Arabidopsis thaliana: one gene and its partners. The protein of the gene in region 3 interacts with the protein of the main gene of each other region in a pairwise test. Each region holds a gene or a part of one and is shown on either strand. Other genes may lie near its edges. The genes, in order: TOR1, AT5G25490 and AT5G02530.

Region 1 (8,551 bases), on a different chromosome or scaffold from region 3:
TACCTGTTGACTCCAAGATAAGCAAATGTCGTAGAGACTATGATCCAGCAGAAACTGAGAGATGAAGTTTAGAGCTTCATTGGCAATCTCATTCGACATCTGGTCAAGAGAAGGTCCCGTCTTGTCCATCAGCTTGATGACCAAGTGCTGGTCACCAGCACAGAGGACTTCTGCGTAAGCAGCATCAATGTCACCAACACGGAGTGAGTGCATTGCATTACTCCATGAAACCCATATCGGGTCACGTTCCTGCCCTTCGTTATCATCATCTCCCATGGCTTCAGCTTCAGGGGCAACAGCCACTCGGGTTGGACGAGGGACTGCACCATCCTCGCCGGCTACTCTAATAGCTTCAAGTGTAGCTTCATCCTTTGATGCTTGCCACACACTTCTTGCTGAAGGGCCTTCACCAAATCTAATAGTTCCAGATGCTTTATTATCCCACCCTCTCCTGCCATTACCCATGTGCTCATTCTCATATTGTTCTGACCGAGGTGATCTTCTTGGCCCGGCTTGTCCGTTTCTGGAAGCAGCATGTGGAGGTATGAACCAGTCATCTGCCATGTCAGAATTCCACATTCTCCCCCTCATAGCTCCATCTGTTTGTGAGCCTCTTTCCCCTGGAGCTCGACCATTATACTTTCCAGTTGGATAGTTAGCAAAACTATTATATTTGCCAAACCCAGCTGTGAGATTAGCCCTACGACCTGATGATATCGAAAGATCTCTTGCCATGTCTTCAACAATCCTTTCTAAACCCCTTACTCTGCCCTCCAAGGTCACCATACTGTCATGTGAGCCACCAATAAACTCTTGGAGCATGTTCATAAGATTTGTTTGTTGTCTCTCTAGCTGCAACAACTGCCTCTGGATGGCTGACCAATTTCCTCTATTACTTGTGAAGGATCCTTCAGATTGGTTATCAGTATTGGAGACAGGAGCGTGATGTCCAGGTGTCTCTTTTCCGTTTACAACACCAGCCTTATCATCACCAGATGTCCTTGCTTGTGATCCGTTCCCATCAAACCTACCTTTTACCTGTTTATCATCTGCTTGGGTGTTCTTGAGGCGATTTGAAGATCCCATGGCATTGAGATCATCGAGTCCTGATTCTTCCTCATCATTGTTTTTACATCTACGAGGAACTACTACTTCCACGGATTGCCTTCTTTCTAGTCTTTGGAAAAACTCAGGATTAAAATCTTTATCACTTAAGACAGGTGCTTTCTTCTTCAACAGTCCTACTGCTTTTTCAGGAAAACATCCTTTTCCTTTAGAAGCAGAGTCTGGTGAGAGAGTGGAACCATCGGATGCCTCCTTTTTCATTAGATCAGCTAGATTAGACCTTTTCTCCCCGTTCTTCTCTGATCCAAGCTGCTCACTAGCTGAAAGCTTTGAATCATCTGAAGCACCATCGACATATTTTCCAGAAATCTTCTTCCATAACTGCAGCGCCTCTGTCACACTTTCCCTAACAGGTTTGATCTGTCCAAGAAAATTCCATCAGTAAAGTGTCTTGAGAAGATCATTCCATGTCCTAAGTAATAGAATTTTGATGAATGTGTAGAGAGCCATAATCCATTTCATAAAACATCCAGCCATTTCAATGCTCAGTAGTGAAAGAAAAATTATAGATGACTGAAAATTCTTGAGATATGTAAATCATATAGTAGTCAAAAATCAAAAGGTAAGGCTTCGTGAGAATTTCAAGCTACTTGCTTGTGCGTTTCATCAGCATAGCAAATGAGGAGAAAGGTCCAAAAGCACTATCAACCACTAACAGATATGTCTGAGCTGCTGATGACATTTACAAGGAATTGAAGAGCTTATGGGGTTTACGTTTACTTCACTACAGGACCACTTTAGATTACTAGAAAAATGTAGCTACCTTGTAAAAAATGACGTGTCTCAAACACGATAATAGTGGAATTAGATTAATTAGAGAAAGAAAAGATAGCTACCTTGTCAAACCGGCAGGTCTCAAGCACGGTAATGGTGGAATCGGTTTTTTCCTTAATTAAACCGCTTGAATGTGATGCCAATGCAGTCAGGGTCTCAGCCGCAGCTTTTCGTGTTACCCAATCTGTACTTCCAAGGCAATCATGGATGCTTTCTAGCAATGACTCCAAGCTCTGAGGTGCAATGGCTCCCACCTGAATCAAAGTAATTGCTCTTTACTTCTCTTTTTCATAAACAGATTTAACCACTAAACCTACTAGCATTGAACTACCAGAAGTAAAGAGAGAGAGAGATATTAAACCCCTCAAAATTTCACTGAGACTTGTATGCTCAAATCAAACAATAAACTTCAGCAACACCTAACAGAAAAAGTGTCGGATTAAGACTAAAACCTCAAGCAGTGTTATTTACTAAAACTTTGTGTTCTACTTACTGACACTGATATTCAAAATTCACCATATTCTTCCATTTGCTGTCTATAGCATGACAAGGAGGAGATTATAAGGATTCTGGGCAAACCTGAGAGAGACTTGAAACAACTGGCAAAAGGGAAGCCTTAGCAAGGAAACTGGAATTGCTCAATAGCTTGCAAATTCTAGGGCAAAGCTTTTGGAAAGAAGTAACTGGAGGACTAGCAGCTGATTCAACCATCCTAGCCATACACATTGAAGCTCCAGATTGTACCACTTTGTTCTGCTCTCCCATTGCCTCAAACAATGGCTTAACGAACAAACCCACCGCTAACGACGCTGAACCAGTATTAGTCCCCTCTTCTTTTCCCTTGAGATAAATCCCAGACAAAGCACCAATCGTATCTCTACAAGCATCCCTAACTCCAGAATCAGAATCCTTCAACCGTTTAACTATCTGAGCGATGATTTTAGTGAGATGCGCAGCCGTCGAATCGCAATGGAGACTACAAACGTAGGAGAGAAGATGGAGACACTCCTTCTTCACTGCAGGTTTCGGATCGGAGCACGAATCGTAGAGACAATTGAGAAACATCGGTAGGGTTTCGGGAGTGAGAGATTGAATAGTTTTCTCGAGATCCTCGACGGCGATCTGGTATGTATCTCGATCGGCGAGCTTAGAGATTGAGGTAAGGATCTTTTGCTTCAGCTCCACCATTGCTTGGAACGAAGTGAGGGAACCGGAATTGGAACATGACCTAGTTGCTAAACTCGACGACCGTGCTGGTCTCGTCGGTTTCGCCGCCGAACCGGAAGTTGTAGGTGTGCTCATTTCTAAATCTCCGACGAGAGATTAGATTAATCGGAGAAGAAGATAGACGAGTTGGAGAAGAAAGACGAGATCTGACACTCGAAAGTGTAACAGTTAAGACTGGAATCAGAAATGTGTCGCTCAATTTTATTAGTATTTCACTTTTTCAATTTTTTCAAATTTTAATATTGCATAATTTTCAGTATCTGGATTTTGCATTTGTCGCGGAAAATCGGGTGTGAAAGACAAAGTATGAAAATATAGTTTAAATTCGTGATACTTCGTTTAAATTAATAATCAATAATACGAGTTCTAGTGTAATATATAAACATCCATGCAAATAAGTTCGGACATTATCAAATTTAGAGACATCACGTTCTACATTATGGATTGTTAATTTTTATTTCAAAATTTAAGTTAAAAAAAATAAAAATAAAGAATCTAATTATTCAAAATGTCAAATTGGTTTCTTGTACAAAAACATGGCTTGATATATGGATTAAGGAATTTTTTACATGGTACTATAAGTCAATAATGAATGGTTCAAGGAATTTTACATGGTACACTAACGAATGCTTTAAGGAATTGTGATTGCTATTAGTTGTTTAGGTTGTCGTTAAGATTGTTACGTTACGTACACTTTGTTGGAGTTAGAGTCGAGCAATGCACATTGGAGAGGCTTCCGAGTGAGTCCGCATGCATATACCATTCATTTTTTAGCTTCAACGACTCAAAGGCCTTCGTCTGGTGTTTAATGCACGTGTGTAAATCATAAATGGATCAGAGGCTGGTGGTTCATCGGACCAACAAGGTCTGCCTAAATGACAAGTTAAGACGGTAAAATCGATAAGAGACAAACCTTACCGATTTGATATTTATTTTTTTTGGTTCGAATATGTAATCGATTAGTGTCATTTTGACTATTTGCATGTTGGTCATTAAAAGATCAACCACATTTTATTATTTTAAGTACAAAATAAAAAATACAAGAAACTTAATAAAGTTTTGGAAAACGTTTAAAAATCATGAAATTAAACTAAAACTATATAGTTAGTTCATTTGTATTAATTTAACCATAAGTACATGTCTTTGTAATCCTTTTATTTATCAACTCCACCAAAAACAAAACGAGTAGTAGTACGTCGTTCATTAGCACTATTAGAAGCCTTTGAATCATATTAGCAAAAACTGCTATACGTCATTTTGTCCAAAGAGGACGTTTACCAAAAGAAAATAGATAACACTAAAATTAGGCATGTGATAAACACTCCAACCCCCAAAATGTACACCGCCCTATTCTCACCAACCTCTTCTGACTCTTCTCTCATTTTCTGTTGTTCACAAATAAGTTAACGTGGTACCGAACTACCGATTTCCTCCACTATTTTATTGAATTTCTGGTCAAAAAACTTAAGTGTTACATAACGAATCTATAAAAAGAACCCTCACTTTCAAGGTTTTTGTCAGCAAAACATTTGTCTTCGTGTTTGAAAGCTAGATAAAAGATTCACTAAATGGCCACCGCAAGCACCGCTGCTACTTTCAGACCCTCCTCCGTTTCAGCTTCTTCCGAATTAACCCATCTGAGATCACCCTCCAAACTCCCCAAATTTACGCCTCTGCCATCGGCTCGCTCACGGTCCTCTTCTTCGTTCTCCGTCTCCTGCACCATCGCTAAGGACCCAGCTGTTGTCATGGCGGACTCGGAGAAGATTAAGGCCGCTGGATCTGATCCGACTATGTGGCAACGACCTGATTCATTCGGTCGTTTCGGGAAGTTTGGCGGCAAGTACGTCCCCGAAACTCTAATGCACGCCCTCTCTGAACTCGAAACGGCTTTCTATTCGCTCGCCACCGACGAAGATTTCCAGGTATGCCTGCTGATTTTGTTTCCATCTTGTTCATAGTTTTTGAATCGATTCGAAATGATTTGGCTTTGTGAGTTTCTGATTCAAGCGTTGTCATTGCCATGGCTAGTGATAAAGTTTAAAAAACGGATTTTTTTGTTCCAATTCTAAAAAATAATCTGCCAAACAATGTTAAGCCGTATGGGACAAATCGATTTGTTTGCGATGTAGGATGTAATTCTGGGAAAGTGTTGTATTTTTCCAGAAATCTGGAAACGACATTCATTTCATATTCTTAGTTTCTTCAGCATTACATGCTTCTGTGTGATGTAAGTTAGAAGTCTTTTTGGTTAGTTCGTTTGTTGGGCAATGTCTAACTAATGTTTGATGAATCTGTAGAGAGAATTAGCAGAGATCTTGAAAGACTACGTTGGTCGGGAAAGTCCTCTTTACTTTGCAGAGAGGCTCACGGAGCATTACCGCCGTGAAAACGGTGAAGGGCCGCTCATATACCTCAAAAGGGAAGACTTGAACCACACCGGTGCTCACAAGATCAACAACGCTGTGGCTCAGGCTCTTCTCGCCAAGCGTCTAGGAAAGAAACGAATTATTGCTGAGACAGGGGCTGGTCAACATGGTGTAGCCACAGCTACTGTGTGTGCACGTTTCGGTTTGCAGTGCATTATCTACATGGGTGCTCAAGACATGGAGAGACAAGCTCTTAATGTGTTCAGAATGCGTCTTCTCGGTGCTGAGGTGATGTGAATTCTCTGCGTAAACCTTGCAAAATCGCAATGCTTTCAAATTGTTATCTAAGTCTGATGCTTGTAGGTAAGGGGAGTCCACTCTGGAACAGCCACTTTAAAGGACGCAACTTCTGAAGCTATAAGGGATTGGGTGACCAATGTGGAGACTACACATTACATATTGGGATCCGTTGCGGGTCCTCATCCTTATCCTATGATGGTCAGAGACTTTCACGCGGTGATTGGTAAAGAAACAAGGAAACAAGCGATGGAGAAATGGGGCGGGAAGCCTGATGTTCTGGTTGCTTGTGTCGGTGGTGGTTCAAATGCTATGGGACTCTTCCATGAATTTGTCGATGACACAGAGGTTCGAATGATTGGTGTGGAAGCCGCTGGATTTGGATTGGACAGCGGCAAACATGCTGCCACATTGACAAAAGGAGATGTCGGTGTACTCCACGGAGCTATGAGTTACTTGCTGCAAGATGATGATGGCCAAATCATTGAACCACACTCCATCAGTGCCGGGTAAGAGATTCTTCTCTGTTCAAAGTTGGTTTTAAGCCACATGTATCTGGTCACCTGTATCTAAAGAGTAAAAGTTGATGTTATCAGATTGGACTACCCTGGAGTCGGACCTGAGCATAGTTTCCTTAAAGACGTGGGAAGGGCTGAATACTTTAGCGTTACTGATGAAGAAGCATTAGAAGGTACTTACTTGACACTTCATTTTTCTCCTTTTAGATGTTTCTTTCACAACTCATGAGAACTTGCATTGTGTATTCTAATCTATGCGTGTAGCTTTCAAGAGAGTGTCTCGGTTGGAGGGAATAATCCCGGCATTGGAGACATCGCACGCATTGGCCCATCTGGAGAAGCTTTGTCCGACGTTACCTGATGGAGCCAGAGTGGTATTAAACTTCAGTGGGAGAGGCGACAAGGATGTTCAGACTGCAATCAAGTATCTCGAAGTTTAAAGAGTGTAGATTACTTTCATTTTCACACAGTGCTATTTCTTTTATGTAGTTTGTTAGTTCTCCTTGCTTATGGTCGGGAATCCAAAAGTTTGGATCAAAGGGTTAAGAAGAGAATAAGTGTTATGAATGTATCATATAAATAAAAATGTTCTATGGAACGTTTGATGTTCTTATAAGCAATTCGAACTGTTTTGTTCTTGACTTAGCTGGTTTTCCCTTTCATATCTTAATTTCACCAATGCTTAGAAAAAACAACTCTGATCGAATGATTTATAAACAACTCTGCTCTTTAATGGTGATCATTGTAAATTCAAACTTGTGTATTGTTTGTACTAATTTGTTCTGATAGAAACTATTTTGGGTTAAATGGGAAACGGGTCAAAGCATAGGGGGCTAGTGTTGTAATTTAGTAGATTGGGGAGGAGTTTCAAATCTGAACGCTGAAGATAAATCACAAGGGAGGTGCTTCGTCCTCGAAGCTTTTAGAACTTAGCCAAGCAGCTGTTGTTTCTTAGTTGACTCCCTCTCCGACGAAAATGGTGTCCACGAGCAAGATCAAATCCGTTGATTTCTATAGGTTTATGTCTGTTACTTTGTGTATTTTTTTCCCAGATTTCTCCAGCTTCTTTCTCCTGTTATATAGATTTCGAATTTCATCGATCTAGGCATGTGACTTGGATTTGTAGTGGTAGTTTACTATGAATTTTACTTGGGGAGAATCAACATTTTGTGGATTTTCTTACTCATTAGTGATAGGGTTTAGTTGTGGACAAGCGATCCTGAAGTTGTAGGTTTTGCCTCTCGTGTATGTGCATTGTCATTGTCTTTTGATCTTAGTGATATTGAGCTGTTTAGATGCTATTTTCTGGGATTTAAGATGATCGTTAGTCACTTCGATTTCGGTATTGTTGCTAAGAGAGTTGCTTCAAAGTTCAATGGAATCTGAGATTTGTGATTGTGGACGATAATACAGTACTTCAAATTTCATATATATTCTTTGGAAACTCTGTGCCTACAGGAAAATCCCGAGGGATTTGACAGAGGCGTCTCTGTCTGGTGCTGGATTGTCCATTATAGCAGCCCTCTCTATGATATTTCTATTTGGAATGGTAAGTTTCACCAGCTCACTGGACTTGTCATTATGTGGATGATTTTGACCATTCTGTGCCGATTGTTCAAGTTTCATTTTGTCCTTAATTTATATTAACTGCTCCGTTTGTTACTATTAGGAAAAATGAATGTTGTTTTGACTTTGTAAGTTTCTTATTACAGGAGTTGAATAATTATTTGGCTGTCAGCACTTCCACATCGGTCATTGTTGACAGGAGCGCTGACGGAGACTTCTTGCGCTTAGATTTTAATATAAGGTACATTATACTCAATTTTGTTTCTCAATACAAATGTCTTATAGTTTTAATATTTTTAACAGAATGTCATATGTGTGGCCTACTTAAAGTCATGCAAAGTTCAGCACCTGTCTGATTGCTAACCAGATACAGATTCTATTTTTTGACAGCTTCCCGTCACTTTCATGTGAATTCGCATCTGTGGATGTCAGTGATGTATTAGGAACTGTAAGTTTGGTTTCATCATAAGTTGAAGTCTCTATCTCTTTTCTGTTGCTCTTGAAAATTCTTTGTTTTAAAAGTATTTAAAATTTTGTGAACAAAGAAAAAGTATTTTAATATCTGCTATGTACGTTCAAAAAGTTTGGACTGACAATATTTTCTTCAAGGGAAACCCGAAAATGTCAAATTGTGAAAGAGTCTATCGTATGTGTGGTTTGAAAATAGTGTTATTC
Region 2 (8,551 bases), 8.3 Mb from region 3:
GCTTTGCTTTTTTATGTGGGTTAAAGATAAATTTTAAAACTTTTATAAAAGTTACCGCAATTTTTCCCAAAATTTAAGAATTTATTAGCGTTGTGTAAGGGTGTTTTTGAAATGGATAAAAAGTTATCTTTGCTATTGCTTTTGTTATAAAAATTGACTTTAACAGTAAGAATATATTTGTTTATTTAACAAGTGATGTACACTTTACTTAGATTGGTCATCGACAAGTCTCTCTCATTTGCTCATTAAAAGAAACACTAATAAGTTATGATTAAAGCTATACATATACTTGCACTGTTGCACACATCTATCCTTACCATTGTAATTAGATGTGTCTTATATTATTCTCCGCCAACACTGAATTTTAAGTAGTGCTTAGTTTGACACTAATTGTAATTTGATGATTGCTTATGGATCTTTAGGTGATTATGAAACCGTGCATTTAGCTAAATCATATGAACAGAATTACCTACTATGTTAGTTAATGAGAATAAACATATGATTTAGGAATTATGCTATATATTTGATAATTAGAAGAAGATTACTAAGCTGGTTGTATTTTATCGTCTACAATTCACAACCTAATTTATGCATTTTGAAATACTATTATTATATATTCATATCTAAATCGAATCTAATAATTGATAGTTTTGAAATTCAAAGTGGGAAGACGTTCACTATGATGCATGCATGATAATCATACCTAAGACGTACTTTCACTTCACTAAAACCAAAGAAGAATCAAATGATGAATTGACTTCAAAGTGGGGGAAAAACGAAAGATTCTTTAGTAAAAAGCCAATTAGTGCAACCCTTTAACGAAAAAATAAAAGCTAAGCAATGGATTATAGTAGCAGACATTAAAGACTGGTTGTCTTTTTTTTTTTTGACCCGTTGATGATAATCTTAACTACACTTCCATGAGTTCAGTAAATTGGAATCCTATGCAAAATGCAACGTGTGTGTGGACACGTACCAACGTACGCTTGCTCTATTTTAGAGTCTCAATCGTACGTGGCAGTATAGAACGAGCGATAAAAACAAAAATATATTGAGTAGTAGATCAAGCAAAAAAAATGTAGTTAGTGTTTTGACCAAAAAAAGTGTAGTTCTAATTAGTACTGCGAGACGGAACAAACAGTACAAAAATAAGCAGGATCAAAAGTTGAATGGTAAATATGAAAAATGCGTTACTGATTTTTTTCTTTCTTACTTACATTTTGAAAACAAATTTTTAAGTATACCACCCATTACAAACAATTAAGGAAACGGTCATCGATCAGTTGCAATATTGTTGTTTATGACAAAACTTCATTGCAAAAATCTTCTTATGGGTTTTGTTCGACTGCTCGAATGTATGTGCGAAAAGATGGCCTTGAATACGCAATTTAATATATAGTGAAATCCGTATTTGTATTTAATTAAAATTAATTTTGCAACTTAATGTTACCAAGAAAATAAATTAGAATTCTAAACTAATTAATGATATATAACATAATTAATATTTTCTGATAACTATTCTCATTTTAGAGTGGAACTCATACATTTTCATTCGATTTGGTGGTAAGCTCATTATCACCAAGCCACATCATAATATGAATGCTCATGCATATTTTTTTTTGAGGCATTGGACAAAAGGTTTCGTTGTGGTCCATGCATCTACCCATTTCAAACGGTTACTAGAGTTTGTGTTTGGTTTAACGTAAAACTACATTCCTACTACAAATTATATAACAAAATTTTAATTGCATATATAATAACATTTGCATGCAATTTGGATTTGCGGCCACAGAAGAAGTTCTCAACAGCTCTCAGCCTCTCGTACGTTCAACAACTCAAGTGTTTCAAACTTAGATGAGAATCGTGATTGCGGAATCAGAAGGAAACAACTTTATCAGAAATAAGAATACATTCAAACAAACTTACATACTAGCTAGGAGACCGATATCAGAACAAAATGCTTCGGAAAACTCTCGACATGCTTACATTCTAACATAGGTCTGACTACTACGAGATATAAAACGAGTCAAATCTAAGAAATTAAACAAATCAAGAGATTAAGGGCGGTCGGTATCTTGCTTCGATTCTTCACCTTTCTGCTCTCCTCTAATGCTTCCAGAGTACTAAAAAAAATAATCAAAAAGATACGTACGTTAACGTTAAAGTACTATCGTTAGTGTATTTCACACTACTATTTAAACTTTTACGATATAATAAAGTTGTAAATGTTAACAAATTCTATCATCCAAATATATATGTCGAACTGTTTCTGATCAGAAGTTAAGACTATTGTTGAAACGAAAAGTACTTGGAAATGATGAAGAAGGTAGGAGGACTAAATGACTAATAGGGTGGTTCGGTGGCAAGTTCCTTTGGTGCGTTACACCTGAAACACTCTGACCTGCTTGCGAAGTTATGTTCGTTACAGCCTGACCTATAATATACAAATTAAACCAATCAGTTTCTACGATATGCATATACATTAATACAATTTAAACGGTCGTGTTTAGCTTACGTAAGCCAGCATGCATGTTTCTTTTTTGGCTTTAAGTTTTAACCATCAAAACATATTATTGCAAAAAAATAACATCAATACATAGAAACAATCAAACAAAAAAGTACCTTGGGCAAATCCAATCTCCAGATTTCCAAGGAGAACGGCCCGTACCACCACCACCACTACTGCTGCCGCCAAAACCAAAAAGGCCACGTCTCGGACCAACATTCATGTCCATAAACCCGGTTGTTGCAGCAGCACTTGAGCATGAAAACTCATCTTTTGCGGCACCACACTTGAAACAACTGGACCTATTGGCAAAATTATGTGTCCCACAATCCCCAAGGTTGCAATACCAATCCCCGGGTCGCACATCGGGCCCGGTGTTGAAACCGAAGGAGCTACTAACCGGACGGCCACCAAAACCGCTGAGTAAATCGGTACTGATCCCGCCCGGTCTAGGCTCTCTACAACGTTGGCATGAATCCCTCCTCTGGAAGTTGAGGTGGCTACACAATCTGCAGTTCCAATCTCCCGGCCTATTCATCTTCTTCTACAACACCATAGAAAATAATAATTAAGTAACAAATTACACAAAACTAAAGACATATGTATCTACAAATGTAACTTATATATATGTTATGATTACCTGAGGGTAATGGAAACGAAAAAGAGAGTTGAAATGAGTGTAAGAGCTTATGAAGGTGTTGTTGTACTCTCACAATATATTTATATGGACAAAGCAAAAGGCCCTTCCTTTAACAACCGGGAACATTTTTTGAAGTGAAATTAGGGTTTCAATTGGTTTTTACTTTCTTATTTTGCTACAGCTTTAATGCATTTCCCTTTAACATTTGGGTTTCTCCGTAAACTACGTTATTCCCAAAAGAAACAAATTTATCTATTTATATATATCGAGGACTTTAAATTAATTTATCATTTCTAGACCCCACTATTTTAAACAAAAAAAAGAAACACAAGGTTAAAGCTTTAGATATCAGCCGTTTTCATTTTGCGTCAGCTTCACAAAAGCTAATACTGGCAAATTCAATACCATTTACTTGACAGATGTATATATCTCCATATTTATCAACGTACGTACTTATTTTAAGACACCTAAATATTTTAAAATTAATCAAGACGTATTCTAATAGATTATTATAGTGCCAAATTATAATCCGAGTTTAAATTCGGAAGTGTGCATGCATGGGTTGTAAACGAACTTTTAATTTAAATTGAAAGATCAAAACAAAAATATGGGAGGAAAGTAATTTTAAAACACTAGTCCTAAATTCAAAGAGAAGTATTTACAAAAGAACCAAAATCTTACTGGTTGTTTATACAAGATAACAAACTAAAAAGTTTACCAGATTACATACCAAGATGACTAAAAAATATCTCTTTAATTAACTCTTGCTTTTAAAATGGTGGTGTGGAAATATAGATATGTAAACCTATATCTTTGGGGGCACGAAGGAGAGTGAATCCTATTTTATTGGTCTCGAGGTTTTATAACACTTGAATTGATAATGAATAAGAAGAACTAAACTAGAGATACTAGAAATCTCCGACTATATGGTAATATGGGTATATTAATATAGTTTTCTTGGACTTACTATATAATTTTTGACTAACATGTGGTTTCTCTATGAGACAAAATGAAATTTTCACTAAATTTCACAAACTAAACTAAAGCAAAGCAAAGAAAAGAAAAAAAGAAAAAAAAGATTCTTAGACCTTATTGGGACCCCAGTTCGTATATGCTTATAGATTTCTTGTTAACTGTATATGCACATATAGATTGACTAACGATGAGACAACTAAAGCTGATATATTCTCATTATCTATTTCGAGCATGTACCACTTTCATATTATCAATCGCAACTTCGTGGTATAACTTTTTATGTAGATAATTAATAATCACATGTATCTATATATTGATGGTCGATGGAGGAGGTACATGGATGTATAATATGCTCTTGTGTGTGTCAGGAGAAAAAGGATGTAGCATGAAGTAAAAAACTCTCTAAACTGTTAAAGCAAAAGTTGCATGGCAACAGTTTCAAGGAACGTATATGTTCCCTTAGCCGCGGAAAATTATAAACGTCAAAGGAATAACTTCTCTTTTCTTTAATTCAATTAGTCTTGTTACTAATATTCAAGTACATCCATCAGAACTTATTCGTTCGTGATTTTCAAAACAAAGACTTAAGAAAATCATGAAAAATTATAGATTAAAACAAAAACAAGAATCATTAAATGGGAGGGAAAAGGCTTTGAGGTTCGTATCTTGACCATCTACGTGTCCTTTTGATTCGTCTACTACAACTACAAGACAGTTTCATTCACTTTTTCTATTTAACCCTATGATTTTTATTTCCCTTACTATATATCCCACATACAAATTATAAATTGTCGTTTGTGGGTACACTGCAATCGCTTTTTTTACCGTCAAATCACCCTTTCCATTGTGGTATACTTGTCTCTCTAAAGTAAGAGTCAGCTATAAGATAATAAGACGAAAAATCCACAGTAAGATGTAACAGAAGAATGCCACGAATGACTAAAAGTTATATAACATATGAATTTATTTAACTTTCGAGATATATATAGGGCAGTAGAATACACCAGCAGTAAAAATATACTTAAATAAATGAAGAACAATATCTTCTAATATTTTTTCAATGTAAAATGTAAGATAATGTAGTGCATATATATTCCCATATATACATCCCAGCTCTAATTTTCATGCACTCCACCCCCATACAAGTGTTTTGTAATATTCATAAACTTTAAGGTTCCAACTCTAACCTTAAAGTTGAGATGCTACCATTACAATGTATAGGAATTAAAATATAGGTTATGGGGATTAAATATTATACGCATTATATCTATCCAACTCAGTCCATGGCTCCGAGCGTAATGCCTTATCCATAAGTCGCCGTAAAAGCTAACTAACTCGACGTCTCGACATTGAAGAAAAAAGAATGGGTAACTTAAAAAGAATATATAAAAATAATGGGAAGAATTATAGAAGAATCAAAATAATTAATAAACCCACCATATTGTCTCGGGGAATGGTAAAGAAAAACTGACGAACACAAAAGAAAAGAGAGAATCTATTCGATTATCTTTGGGAAATGCTTCCATGCATCATCACTTATCTCCCCCTTCTCCAAAGTTCTAGATGTCATATGATTTCCCCACGTCTTTTATTTAGGATGATACAATTATCTATGCATTTGATCATTCGCAAGGACGATTAGCTGAATTCAATTGTATGTTAAGAAAATAAATTACAGGACTAAGTTGAAGATGTAGCTGCTGCTGATGAAAGTGTTGAATGATACAAGAAGTAATACATGATTTTATCTGATAAAATTGCTGAATGATTCAAGAAATAATTCAGGATGCGACAGTTTTGTGTGAGTATCGGTTTCTAGAAGATTTGAGAAGAGCGTGTTTAGAGGATGAATCAAAAAAGAAAAAGGACTTAAAGAGATTTGGAAGACTTGATGAAAGTGGAGTTTGATGAGAAAAAGGATAAGAGTAAATTTACTTTTTCTTATGGAAAAAGGAAATCTTCTCCTATGGTGATTAGGAAATCGTTTTGGCTACATAAGGAGGAGGTAGGACGTCTTGGAGAGGCAGGAGAGCTGAGACATAAAGACAAATCATTGAGAGCTTTCTAAGGGTGTGTGCGACATAGTTTCACGGTTTTATGCGACATAGTTTCGCGGGTTTGGTGCTTGTGTGATCAAGCTTGTTTGTTGGTGCGTGAAGGTTATTCCAGAGACTTGGAGAATTGAAGTCTAGGCTCAGAAGGAGTTTAACTCAGGGTTAGGTTATCCTGATTAAATCTAGACTCAGGGGAGTTTAGTTAAGGGTAGAGATTATCCTTAAGGTTTCACGTTTATAGAAGGGAGCGGTAAATCAAGAGGGGTGTGCTTGTTTTACGCGTTTGCGAATTCATTGTAATTTGCTTTCTTGTTCTAGTGAAATCGAAATCTGGACGTGGTCCCGGGGAGTAGGAAAAACCGAACCTCGTTAACAAATTTCTTATCTCTTTACTTTCTGCACTTTATTATTACCTCATCCGCACTTACATAAGTAGTAATCAAAAATCTCAACTAATACGATGGCGACCGAAATGTTTTTAGAAAGTTAATTTATCTACTTACATATGATCAATAATGCAAGAGTAATTAATTCCTCGCATATGAATGGAGATCAAATAGATAGTGTTTGTAGGTTCCGTGTTCGCGTATCGAAATAAAAAAATCAATTCCTAAATTTCTAGATTGTAGTTTGGGTCTTTCTCAATTTTATTGTAAATCAACTTTGTACCTCACTCTAACTATGAATTACTTATAAAATATTTCTATCAATCCTTTTCAATCTCACTAAAACCATCCAAACAAACCTACGTGGAATCAAAGTTCATATAGTATGAACATGAAGAACACTAGAAGGTCCAAAGATTCAGCCTAGATCAATGTTAGCTAGAGTCTTTTTTGTTTGTTTGTTAATTTGTTGATTGTTAGCTAATTTTATATCCCCATGAAATGAAAGATTAGACATAAAAAACCCACAACATACTTTCACACATACTAAAAAGCAAAGTGTTTGATATGCCATGTAATTCCCCAAAATAACATATCCTTAACCTTAATATATAAAACAGTGGTAACTAAAATTGGTTAACGAAAAAAAAAACAAAAATTGGTTAAGGATTGTTTTTTATTTTTTGTAAGTTGAGGGTTATTTTGAAACATATTGGCTAGTTTGAGGGTTTTCTTGCTAATTAATAAAGAAAAACGACAAAAAACAAAAAACATGGTTCTAACAATAAACCGAACAAGCGTGGTATGGTTCTATTACTAAACAGAACAATATAAAAAAACGGTTTAATTTACCCAAACGAATAAGAACAATAACCAAAAACTCCCAAATTAATTTTGCTTAAGCAGCAGCAGAAGAAGAAGCATGGCGGAACAAGAATTACAGAGAATCAATGAGAAGAAGCCATGGCAAGTTCTCGAGTTCTACAGTGGAATCGGTGGAATGGTAACAGTCTCCTTCACCTCCAATTCTATGTTTTTAGTGAAGTCTACTCTGTCTCATAAACCCTAATTCCTTTTTGCTCTTAGAGATACTCTTTAATGGCGTCAGGCATCGTCTCAGAAGTAGTAGAAGCTTTTGAGATCAATGATTCTGCTAATGATGTTTATCAACATAATTTCAAACATCGTCCCTATCAGGTTGCTTAATGCTTATATATGATATAATCAATAGAAGCATTGTTACATTTGCAAATCATAGATGATGCTAGTTCTGTGACTTAGTCCATGATTAGTTCTTATTGTTTTGGTTGTTTTTCATAGGGGAATATTCAGAGTCTCACTGCTGCTGATTTAGATAAGTATAATGCAGATGCTTGGCTTCTTTCTCCTCCTTGTCAACCTTATACTAGACAAGGTGATTCATTTCACTGTTGTTTTCTTTACTATCAACATGACTTGCTTTTGGATACTAACAGTTTTTTTTTGGTTAGGCCTTCAGAAACACTCTGGTGATGCTCGGGCTTTTTCGTTTCTCAGGATTCTTGAGCTTATACCGCATACAACAAAGCCTCCACAAATGTTATTTGTAGAGAATGTTGTTGGATTTGAGGTATAGTGTTTGCTTATGCTTCCCAGCTAGAGTACTTGTTCTCGATCATCTTCTTTGAAGTCGTGACATTTTTGCTTATTGGTGGTGTTTGTTGGTGCAGACTTCGGATACACATATGGAAATGATTGGTACATTAACAAAATTAGATTATGTCACACAAGAGTTTATATTGAGTCCGCTGCAGTTTGGTGTGCCGTATTCAAGACCACGTTATTTCTGCCTGGTACTTTCTCTTTACCTTATGATTGCGTAGTGCATATCTGTGTACCTAAAACTGTTAATTTTAGTAGTCTGAGAATGTATAAGTATATGCTGATTATGAAACTTTCTCATGTAGTGTGCACTTTCTCATGTATATGCGTTAATCTTTTTGTTTTAGTT
Region 3 (8,551 bases):
CCGCACAAGGATTAAACCAAACCTGTTATTTAAACCGGAGAATGTAGAAAACCAGGAAACGAGAACCAAAATACACAAGCTTTAAACCAAACTGGTTATCTAAACCGGATCAAGTTTTCCCCGCCAAAGCAATTTTCATTCCCATTGTTCCAAACAGTTTAAACCCTAAACTTTTCCCCAATTTTGCTCACTAAATCTCACGAATCTCTCCTCTCGAGAATCTCCTAGGGTTCCGATTATTTCTCAATTAAGATAGTATCCAGCTCGATGACGGAACCAAATCTCGACGAAGATGGTTCCAAGTCGTCTTTCCAGAAAACGGTGAGTGAGCTTCTTACTTCATCTCCTCGTATTTGATTCAATCAGTGTTCTAAATCCGCCTTTTTGTTCATCTGGGTTTTTCGAATAAAGGTGGTGCTGAGAGATTGGTGGTTGATAAAATGCCCAAAGGAATTCGAAGGGAAACAATTTGGTGTTGCTGGATTCGAAGAGTCCGTCGAGTAAGAGTGCTTTGGACTTTTCAGGTTTCTTTTTTTTTTATGAAACGATTTAGTTTTTGAATTCTTCGAATTTTGCCTTAATAGGACAAGAGCAATGCGTGTGTTTACATCTTCACCAATCACCAAAGCTTTGGATGTTTTCACACTCTTAGCATCTGATGGAATCTATATCACTCTCAGAGGTTTTCTTAACAAAGAACGCGTTCTTAAAAATGGATTTAACCCTGAGGTAATCTAAAGATTGCTTAACTTGTTGGAACTTGATCTATCTAAGAACTAAGGAAGAAGAACTGACTTTGATTTGTTCTTTCTCTTTTGTTCTGTGGTCTGGTCTTGGGAATAGATTTCTCGTGAATTCATCTTCGGGTTTCCTCCTTGTTGGGAACGAGTTTGTAACAGTTGCTTTGAAGGAGACTCTTTTGGCACTGATGTTAATACCGTCCCTTCGACTATCGAGAAAGGTTAGGTCTTGAAGCAATGTGTTTGTGTGTGTGTGTTTTTTTCTGATGCATCTATGTTTTATTGATATGTCCTTGTTTTATGATTTCTTAGCAGCTTGTCCTCCCATTTTATCACCTTGTAAGTACTCTAACAGGAATCTTAAGGATAATCCAGCTGAGAGCAGAGAGAAAAGCAATGTGACTGAGACTGATATTGCAGAGATTAATGATAAAGGTGGTTCTGGAGCAAGAGATATAAAAACTGCAAGGAGAAGGTCTCTTCATCTGCAAATAAAAAGGATACTTGAATCGAGTAAAGTCCGGAAGACTGCTAATGATGGAGATCATGGTAGTGAATTTTTGAATACGGCTAAGCGCGGTGATGTAGAAAGAGATGGATGTGAGGTTATCAATAATGAAGACAGTGAATGGAAACTCGATGAAAGTGAAGTCCAGAATCTTTGTAATGATGGAGATAATGGTAGTGAAGGTTTCATTAAGGCTAAGAGCAGTGATGTAGAAAAAGATAAGAGCGAAGCTATCGATAATGATGTGATATCTCCAGCGGTTGGAAGTGGTATTAAGCATACCGGTGCAGATAATGTTGATAAAGTGACAAGTGCAAGTGCTACTGGAGAATCACTTACTTCGGAACAGCAAAATGGTTTACTTGTAACAACAGCATCTCCACATTCCCTGCTTAAAGACTTAGCCAAGAGTAGCAAACCTGAAAAGAAAGGAATATCCAAGAAAAGTGGCAAGATCCTCAGAAGTGACGACAATGTAGTAGATCCCATGAATTACTCTGGGACGAAAGTCAAAAGTGCGGAAAACAAAAGGAAAATCGATGCGAGTAAACTCCAGAGTCCGACTAGTAATGTTGCAGAACATAGTAAGGAAGGTTTAAATAATGCTAAGAGCAATGACGTAGAAAAAGATGTATGTGTGGCTATCAATAATGAAGTGATATCACCAGTGAAGGGATTTGGTAAAAGGCTTTCTGGTACAGATGTTGAAAGATTAACAAGTAAGAATGCTACTAAAGAATCACTGACGTCAGTACAGCGAAAAGGTAGAGTGAAGGTATCGAAGGCATTTCAAGATCCCCTGTCGAAAGGAAAATCAAAGAAAAGTGAGAAGACCCTTCAAAGTAACAGCAATGTTGTAGAGCCTATGAATCATTTCAGGTCTGAAGCTGAAGAAGCTGAAGAAAACTTGTCATGGGAAAAAATAAAGAGGAAAATCGACTTTGATGTGGAGGTAACCACTTCCCCTTATGCCACCACTTACATGGTTATCCTCTGATATTCCTGTTTGAGTGTTAATGCTCTTGTTGTTATGTAATTCAAAGGTAACACCGGAAAAAAAAGTGAAGCAGCAGAAGACCAATGCGGCGTCTACTGATTCATTGGGACAGAAACGGTCAAGATCAGGTTAATAGAGAGTAGAAAATCTTCACTTCCAAAGGGCTCTGTTGAAAGCATTAGTTAAAAAAAGAATTTTGTTTAATGTTTTGCAGGAAGGGTGCTTGTGTCATCACTAGAGTTTTGGCGTAACCAAATTCCTGTTTATGATATGGTTTGTGATTTGATTTCCTTAACACTAGACCAACCATGGGAACAGAGTCTTTAACATTGTCTGGGTTTGCAGGATCGGAACCTTATCCAAGTAAAGGATGGTAGTGAGACTAACTCCGCTCCATCTAAAGGTTAGTTCTTTAAAGCTGTTTTTTGATGAAAACGGCTTTCACTATATAATACAATATTTGTTGTTTTTTTCTTTCTTCTTCTTGATAGGAAAAGGATCGGATTCTCGAAAGCGAAGAAACTTGAAAATCAAATAAACTATTTCAAACTTTCGTAATTAATAAGTAGGTTTATTATGGTCTCTGACCCTGTAATCATAATTAATAAGTAGGTTTGTTATGGTCTCTGACCCTGTCTGTAATCATTTTGTTGGTCGTGAAACTCTCTTAATATTTTAGTATTACTAGCTTCCTTTATTTTTTTTACAAAGTAAATTCATAGTGGATCTCGTTTGCTTCAAGCTCAAAAGTTTGAAACGACAAAGTATACGTAGTAAGAGAGTAGATAGAATTGTGTTTTGAATTGATATTTTAGAAGAGTTTTGAGTTCCACGGTACACACAATGCTTGTTTCTCTGAACTCAACTGCAAAAAGCTAAGAAGCTCACCAAGAGAAGAAAAAACAAAAGCTAAAGCTCGAAAATGTCAGACCCATTGACATTCAATCTAAAGATCATACTAATACAAAAGCATATCGGCACTAAAGGAAGGAATACATGTAGACATGCAATAGGTTTAATCTCCCCTTTCTAACTTGTTTCCATTGCCTCTTTGTGGTACTTGTCCAATTCAGCATCAAGATCCTCTGCAGATACGTTTTCATCACGTCCTCTTCCACCACTGCCACGACCACCACGTCCTCTAGCTCCCCTGCCACCTCTGAAATTACCACCGCCAAAACCACCACCACGAGGACGCCCCATAAAACCGCCTCTTCCTCTGCCTCTGTGGCATAACAGGTTATCCAAAATATTTAATAGGAGTACAAGGTTCGTGTAATCTACCTATCAGGATATACTTGGCCTAACCAAAAAAGCATTTCGTCAATATACTAACTCAAGAACAAAACATAGGCCATCTTAACAGAAGAACAAAACATAAGTATTTCATCAAGATACTAACTGACTTAGCAATAGATTGATAGACCCTAGCAAATGATACTATGAAGTTTCCATATTGAACAAAGTGTGGAAACAAGACAAACCTGAAGTTTCCATTGAAGTTGCCATTGAAATTGCCATTAAAGTTCTCATTAAAGTTGCCAAGTATCCCATTAGTAGGAAAAGGAATCTGAGCTGTAGCAAGAATGGGAAGAGCTGGAGCAGAAAGATTAGTCCCAACAATCTCTATCTTCATCAGTTTTCCATCCAACTGAACATTGTTGTAACGCTTGACAGCTGCCAATGCATCCCCACGCCTCGAGAAAACAACTTCAGCAGTCCCCTGAAAGCATCATTAAGTTTAATCATGACAAGACGATTCAATAAACAAATCTCTGAAGCACAATAAAGCTTATCAAGTAAGTACCTTTGATCTTCCACTCCTATCATAGTGAATCCCATATCGCTTAAGATCACCAACCTCAGAGAAAAGCTCCTACAAGCAAAACCATCTCAAGATCAGAAACAAAACCACAATTTTTCTCATAAGTAAGACTGGAACTATAATAAACTTCTAAAGCACAAACCTTGATATCTTCGTTGGAGACACCATAGTCTAAGTTTGAAATGTAAAGCTTAGTTCCAGTCTCGATAGACGAGCCACCACCAACAACAGCAGTCTGATGATGCCCAAAAGCCGCCGCCACAGACGCATCAGTCGCGAAGACGTCGTTTTGCCACATCGCATCATGAGCTTGTTGTTGTTGAATCGGCTGTTTTATTCGTCAAAGAAGAAACGAAAACAGATCTCAGCTTTTTTTGATTTCACAAAAACCCTAAAAGGAATTCTCTGATTCTTGAAGGAAGAGAAGGTAAAGGGAGAGATATAAAATCAATGGGCTGACCCTTGAATACGGCGCCGTTCTGGCTCCTACGCGGTTAGCAAACCGACGAGACGGACCGGAATTAGAACCGGAACCACCGCGACCACCGGTGTTATTGCCACCTCCAATGCCTCCTCGGCCGCGAGATCCAGTAGGTTTTCGATTAGATTTGATGATATCATCAAGTGACATATCTAAGCCACCTGACATCTTCGCCGGATCTTTTCTCCGATATCGAGAAATGTAGCTAGGGTTTTGTTGCTCTGAGATTTCAAAGATGGAATTACGCACCGCGAGAGTGAGAGAGAGAGAAACAGATATTATCTTCTCGGAGAATTACGATAAACACCTCAGCTTTAATCAATATTGTTTTGTTGCCCTTAAACTCTTACGTTTTACTAAATAGACCCCTGAGTTCTTAATGGGCCTTTTGGACTCATAAAAATCCAGTGGCCCATCCTCATTGTCCACTTCAACTTATTATATTTTTTTCCCTCCGGCCATTGTCATAATCAAAGATGTGGACAAGTACATGTGAAGCACACGCATTGCCTGTATGGGCACAGTATGTGACTGTATCACAACGTACATACACATTCACGTATTAATATTAGTAAGTCAACCCTTTTTTTTCTTTGTTTATCTCAATTTGGAAAACAAATCTTGCCTTGCTATTTAACAAATTACTTGTACCATGAGTGTTAAAGACATCTTTATAACCTGACCAGAAGATTTTATGTAGAATTCTAGACGAATTATGAAATTTTTAATGGTTAAGTGGACTTTTTTATTATATGATATACAGATTTGTATTCAAATGATGACACATTAATTACTATACAAAATATTTAAATATGTTGATAAAAACAAAATGTGGTTAACAAAAAATTATTGATATCTTTGATCCATGGAATAATAACCGTTGCACAATAGTATTTTTTGAGCTGCCTTTTTTGGCAGTAATATAATATAAGGAAATAAATAGTCAATATCGTTAGACGTTATAGTCTCACATGGTCACATCACTTCCCCATACAAATGAGCCAATGAGCCGGATGTCATGTGCCAGTCGCCGCTAAAAACATGATAGATAGAGTAAATGCCTTCATTATTCTACTTACATAATTCGACTATCCTAATATATAGGTGCTAGATCTAGCAATATAATCTCTTCTGTTTCTTCTTTTTTTTTTTTTTTTTTTTACTGAAGCAGTTACAAATGTAGGTTGGTCCATTCTATTTAGATTTGTTTCGTTGCATGCCAAACAAAATAATGTTAACCGGTTATAGAGTACTAAACAAACAAAATAATCGCTAAATATAAGTTCAGCTTTGAAAAGAATATACTCTCAGCTACCACGACAAGTTTGTTCAACTATCAGTTTTACATCATAAAGCATTATAGGTTTTGATTGTTTAAATCACGAATTAGTATGTTGAAACAATAATAACAATAATAAATATGGCATTAATCTCGATAGTGGTGTGTGTGTGTACCTTTGTGTAAATCTACCACCTAACAATGTCATTATGAGGCTCTCTCAGCAATCAATTTTGCAAGGCAAAAAAAAGAAAGATCCAAATCTCGTAGTTGGATTCTCTGAACTTGGAAACGGGATGTGAAAGGAACATCGATATCTATGAGCACGGGCTATGAATTAATTTTATACATTCTGTATTGTTTCTTTATCCAAATAAGTATATATCTTTCTTTATCTGCCGGTCAAAAACTCTGTAAACGACCGATGAAGTATTCTTGAGTAGAGTTTTAATGATTTTCTTTAGTATAAGATTTATGCTCTTCAGTTGTTTAAAATTTGTACGAGACCTTGTTTAGTTATGTTAGGTTTTCTTCTTTATTTTCTATCAAGAACATCCAATGCAGGTTTGAATATGGATGACAAAGTCAAGTATTTTCGTCTCTACATGAAAGAAACAAACCCACACCACTTTGATTTTGTTGGTTTAGACTATAGTCATCGGTTTAGTTGCATAATAACCTCCCTAAGTTTTGGGGAAAAAATGAAACTAATTAGATGGTTAATTAAATGAAACTCGCCCCTAAATTAGGAGGGATTTGGGTAAGTGGTAACACATTCACTGGAAACATGTGAAGAAAGGAGGATGTCAAGTAGCTGAAAACTCAGTATAGTAACCAACGGCTTCTCACCAACCTTTCATTAATAATTTGGTCATCCCTATATTTTTATTCAACATTTTGTTTTTCAATAGCTTAGAGCACCTTAATACCTTTCAGTGTTTTTTTATAAAAAAAAACAAAAATTGGGATTAATCATCAATCCCCAAATGTAACGTTTACTTAGATTATGTTCATTTTTCTATACACACAAATCATATTCTTTTGTTTTAATCTTCGAAAAACGAGAGGACATTAAATACCCCTAAAAAAGGAGGGGACATTACTACCAACGTACATTAACATGTTTGATAGCAAACGATTTATTTTGTTCGTTTTGAAAAGGGGAAAGTAATGTGTAAATTATGTAAAGATTAATAAACTTTTATGGTATAGTAACATTTTCGAATAATAAGAGAGGGAAAACACTCGCCATTGTCGGCAATTTAGAACCAATATTAGAAGGGTTTTTTTAGAGAAAAAGGACTTAAAAGTTTAGAGACCTTAACAACAACTTATTTAGAAATAGACATGCTTAAGTTGACAACAGCGAGTTTATTTTCTATATCGAAGAAAAATACGAACTTTTTCTTAATTAGATTTCGAATGCATGCACTATCGAGAATCGACCGTCACAAGAAAAAACTAATATACATACTGTACATATCTATATTCAATATTGGTGGGGATGGGTTTAATGTGTATTTATAATTCATGGATAAATTCACACAATAAGGTCCATGAAACTAGAAGGTACCAAAAATAAGCATTAATGACTCTTTGCCACTTATATATATGATTCTCTCATAGTACCATTTTATTCTCCCAAACCTATCTTCTTCTTCCTCTCTTGTCTCTCTCGCTCTCTCTCTTCTACATTGTTTCTTGAGGTCAATCTATTAAAAATGGGATTATATTCACTAATCACAGGAAGAAGAGGACCAAGTGGATTTGGTTCAGCTTCAACAGCTGAAGAGGTTACTCAAGGGATTGATGCAACTAATCTCACTGCAATTATCACAGGTTCACATATGCATATGCATACATTTACAAAAAAATTACATCGCTACGTTTTTGAACATGTTTTAATTATTTATTGCTAACAAAACTTGGTATGTGATTTATTATTATTGTAATAAGGAGGGACAGGAGGAATAGGGATGGAGACAGCGAGAGTGCTGTCGAAGAGAGGTGCTCATGTGGTGATCGGTGCCCGAAACATGGGAGCTGCAGAAAACGCCAAAACAGAGATTCTCAGACAAAACGCAAACGCACGTGTCACTCTTCTTCAATTAGATCTCTCTTCCATCAAATCCATCAAAGCCTTTGTTCGTGAATTTCATGCCCTCCATCTTCCTCTCAATCTCCTCATGTACACATTCTCTCTTTCTCTCATTCAGTTTAAAGCGTTTGCACCGCCTTTTTTAGCGTTTGGATTATTGATTCTTATGACAATTACAGGCTTTGAATGGTTTCCACATTAACAACGTTAATTAACACTGTTTTGGTTACCATTCCTCTGTTATTGTGTAGTACTACTATTTACGTTAGTTAGGTAATAAACAACGACACCCAATAATTATTTATGCAGCTTTTTCTTTTTTGATGTTTAATGCTGTGACAATGACATTATTTTTTCGCTCTAAACATTTGACTTCTTTCTTCTTGTTTTGACAACATCAATGTTACTTTACATTTTCCAATGTGGTATCATTTATTACTACCAAATCTCTACACACGTATCACTAGATTTGTAGATGTGTGTAGCAAGAAAAATAAATGTTATCTGTTTTTATTTTATTTTTTTGGGTGAAAAAAAAAAGTGCATACTTTTAATTAATAATTATAACAATTGTACACAAAATGGATTTTGCAGAAACAATGCAGGAGTAATGTTCTGTCCAT

The links.
Region 1: the proteins of AT5G02530 (region 3) and TOR1 interact in a two-hybrid assay, tested with the Arabidopsis thaliana proteins (one large-scale study listed by BioGRID).
Region 2: the proteins of AT5G02530 (region 3) and AT5G25490 interact in a two-hybrid assay, tested with the Arabidopsis thaliana proteins (one large-scale study listed by BioGRID).

What each region holds. Positions count from the first base shown.
Region 1 is NC_003075.7:13,581,870-13,590,420, forward strand, and holds the start of TOR1 (ARM repeat superfamily protein), read right to left. Parts: upstream 3,382-8,551; 5' UTR 3,202-3,381; coding exon 2,479-3,201; intron 2,154-2,478; coding exon 1,962-2,153; intron 1,486-1,961; coding exon 4-1,485; intron 1-3. Other genes in the region: TSB2 (tryptophan synthase beta-subunit 2), read left to right, coding at 4,695-5,051, 5,427-5,783, 5,859-6,301, 6,389-6,483, 6,575-6,750; PDIL5-4 (PDI-like 5-4), read left to right, coding at 7,287-7,327, 7,525-7,680, 7,769-7,859, 8,023-8,117, 8,267-8,324. UniProt on the Arabidopsis thaliana protein: Plant-specific microtubule-associated protein (MAP) that regulates the orientation of cortical microtubules and the direction of organ growth. Determines microtubule organization by modulating microtubule severing.
Region 2 is NC_003076.8:8,871,132-8,879,682, reverse strand, and holds AT5G25490 (Ran BP2/NZF zinc finger-like superfamily protein), read right to left. Parts: upstream 3,363-8,551; 5' UTR 3,147-3,362; intron 3,051-3,146; 5' UTR 3,045-3,050; coding exon 2,623-3,044; intron 2,435-2,622; coding exon 2,344-2,434; 3' UTR 2,309-2,343; exon of another isoform or gene 2,124-2,308; 3' UTR 1,779-2,123; downstream 1-1,778. Other genes in the region: DNMT2 (DNA methyltransferase-2), read left to right, coding at 7,484-7,564, 7,648-7,758, 7,882-7,975, 8,052-8,170, 8,271-8,393.
Region 3 is NC_003076.8:561,058-569,608, forward strand, and holds AT5G02530 (RNA-binding (RRM/RBD/RNP motifs) family protein), read right to left. Parts: upstream 4,869-8,551; 5' UTR 4,720-4,868; coding exon 4,531-4,719; intron 4,399-4,530; coding exon 4,213-4,398; intron 4,122-4,212; coding exon 4,053-4,121; intron 3,969-4,052; coding exon 3,730-3,968; exon of another isoform or gene 3,471-3,729; coding exon 3,275-3,470; 3' UTR 3,028-3,274; downstream 1-3,027. Other genes in the region: AT5G02520 (dentin sialophosphoprotein-like protein), read left to right, coding at 268-321, 412-500, 585-729, 844-961, 1,053-2,200, 2,292-2,373, 2,460-2,518, 2,591-2,648 and 1 more; AT5G02540 (NAD(P)-binding Rossmann-fold superfamily protein), read left to right, coding at 7,552-7,669, 7,787-8,018, 8,523-8,551. UniProt on the Arabidopsis thaliana protein: Export adapter involved in nuclear export of spliced and unspliced mRNA.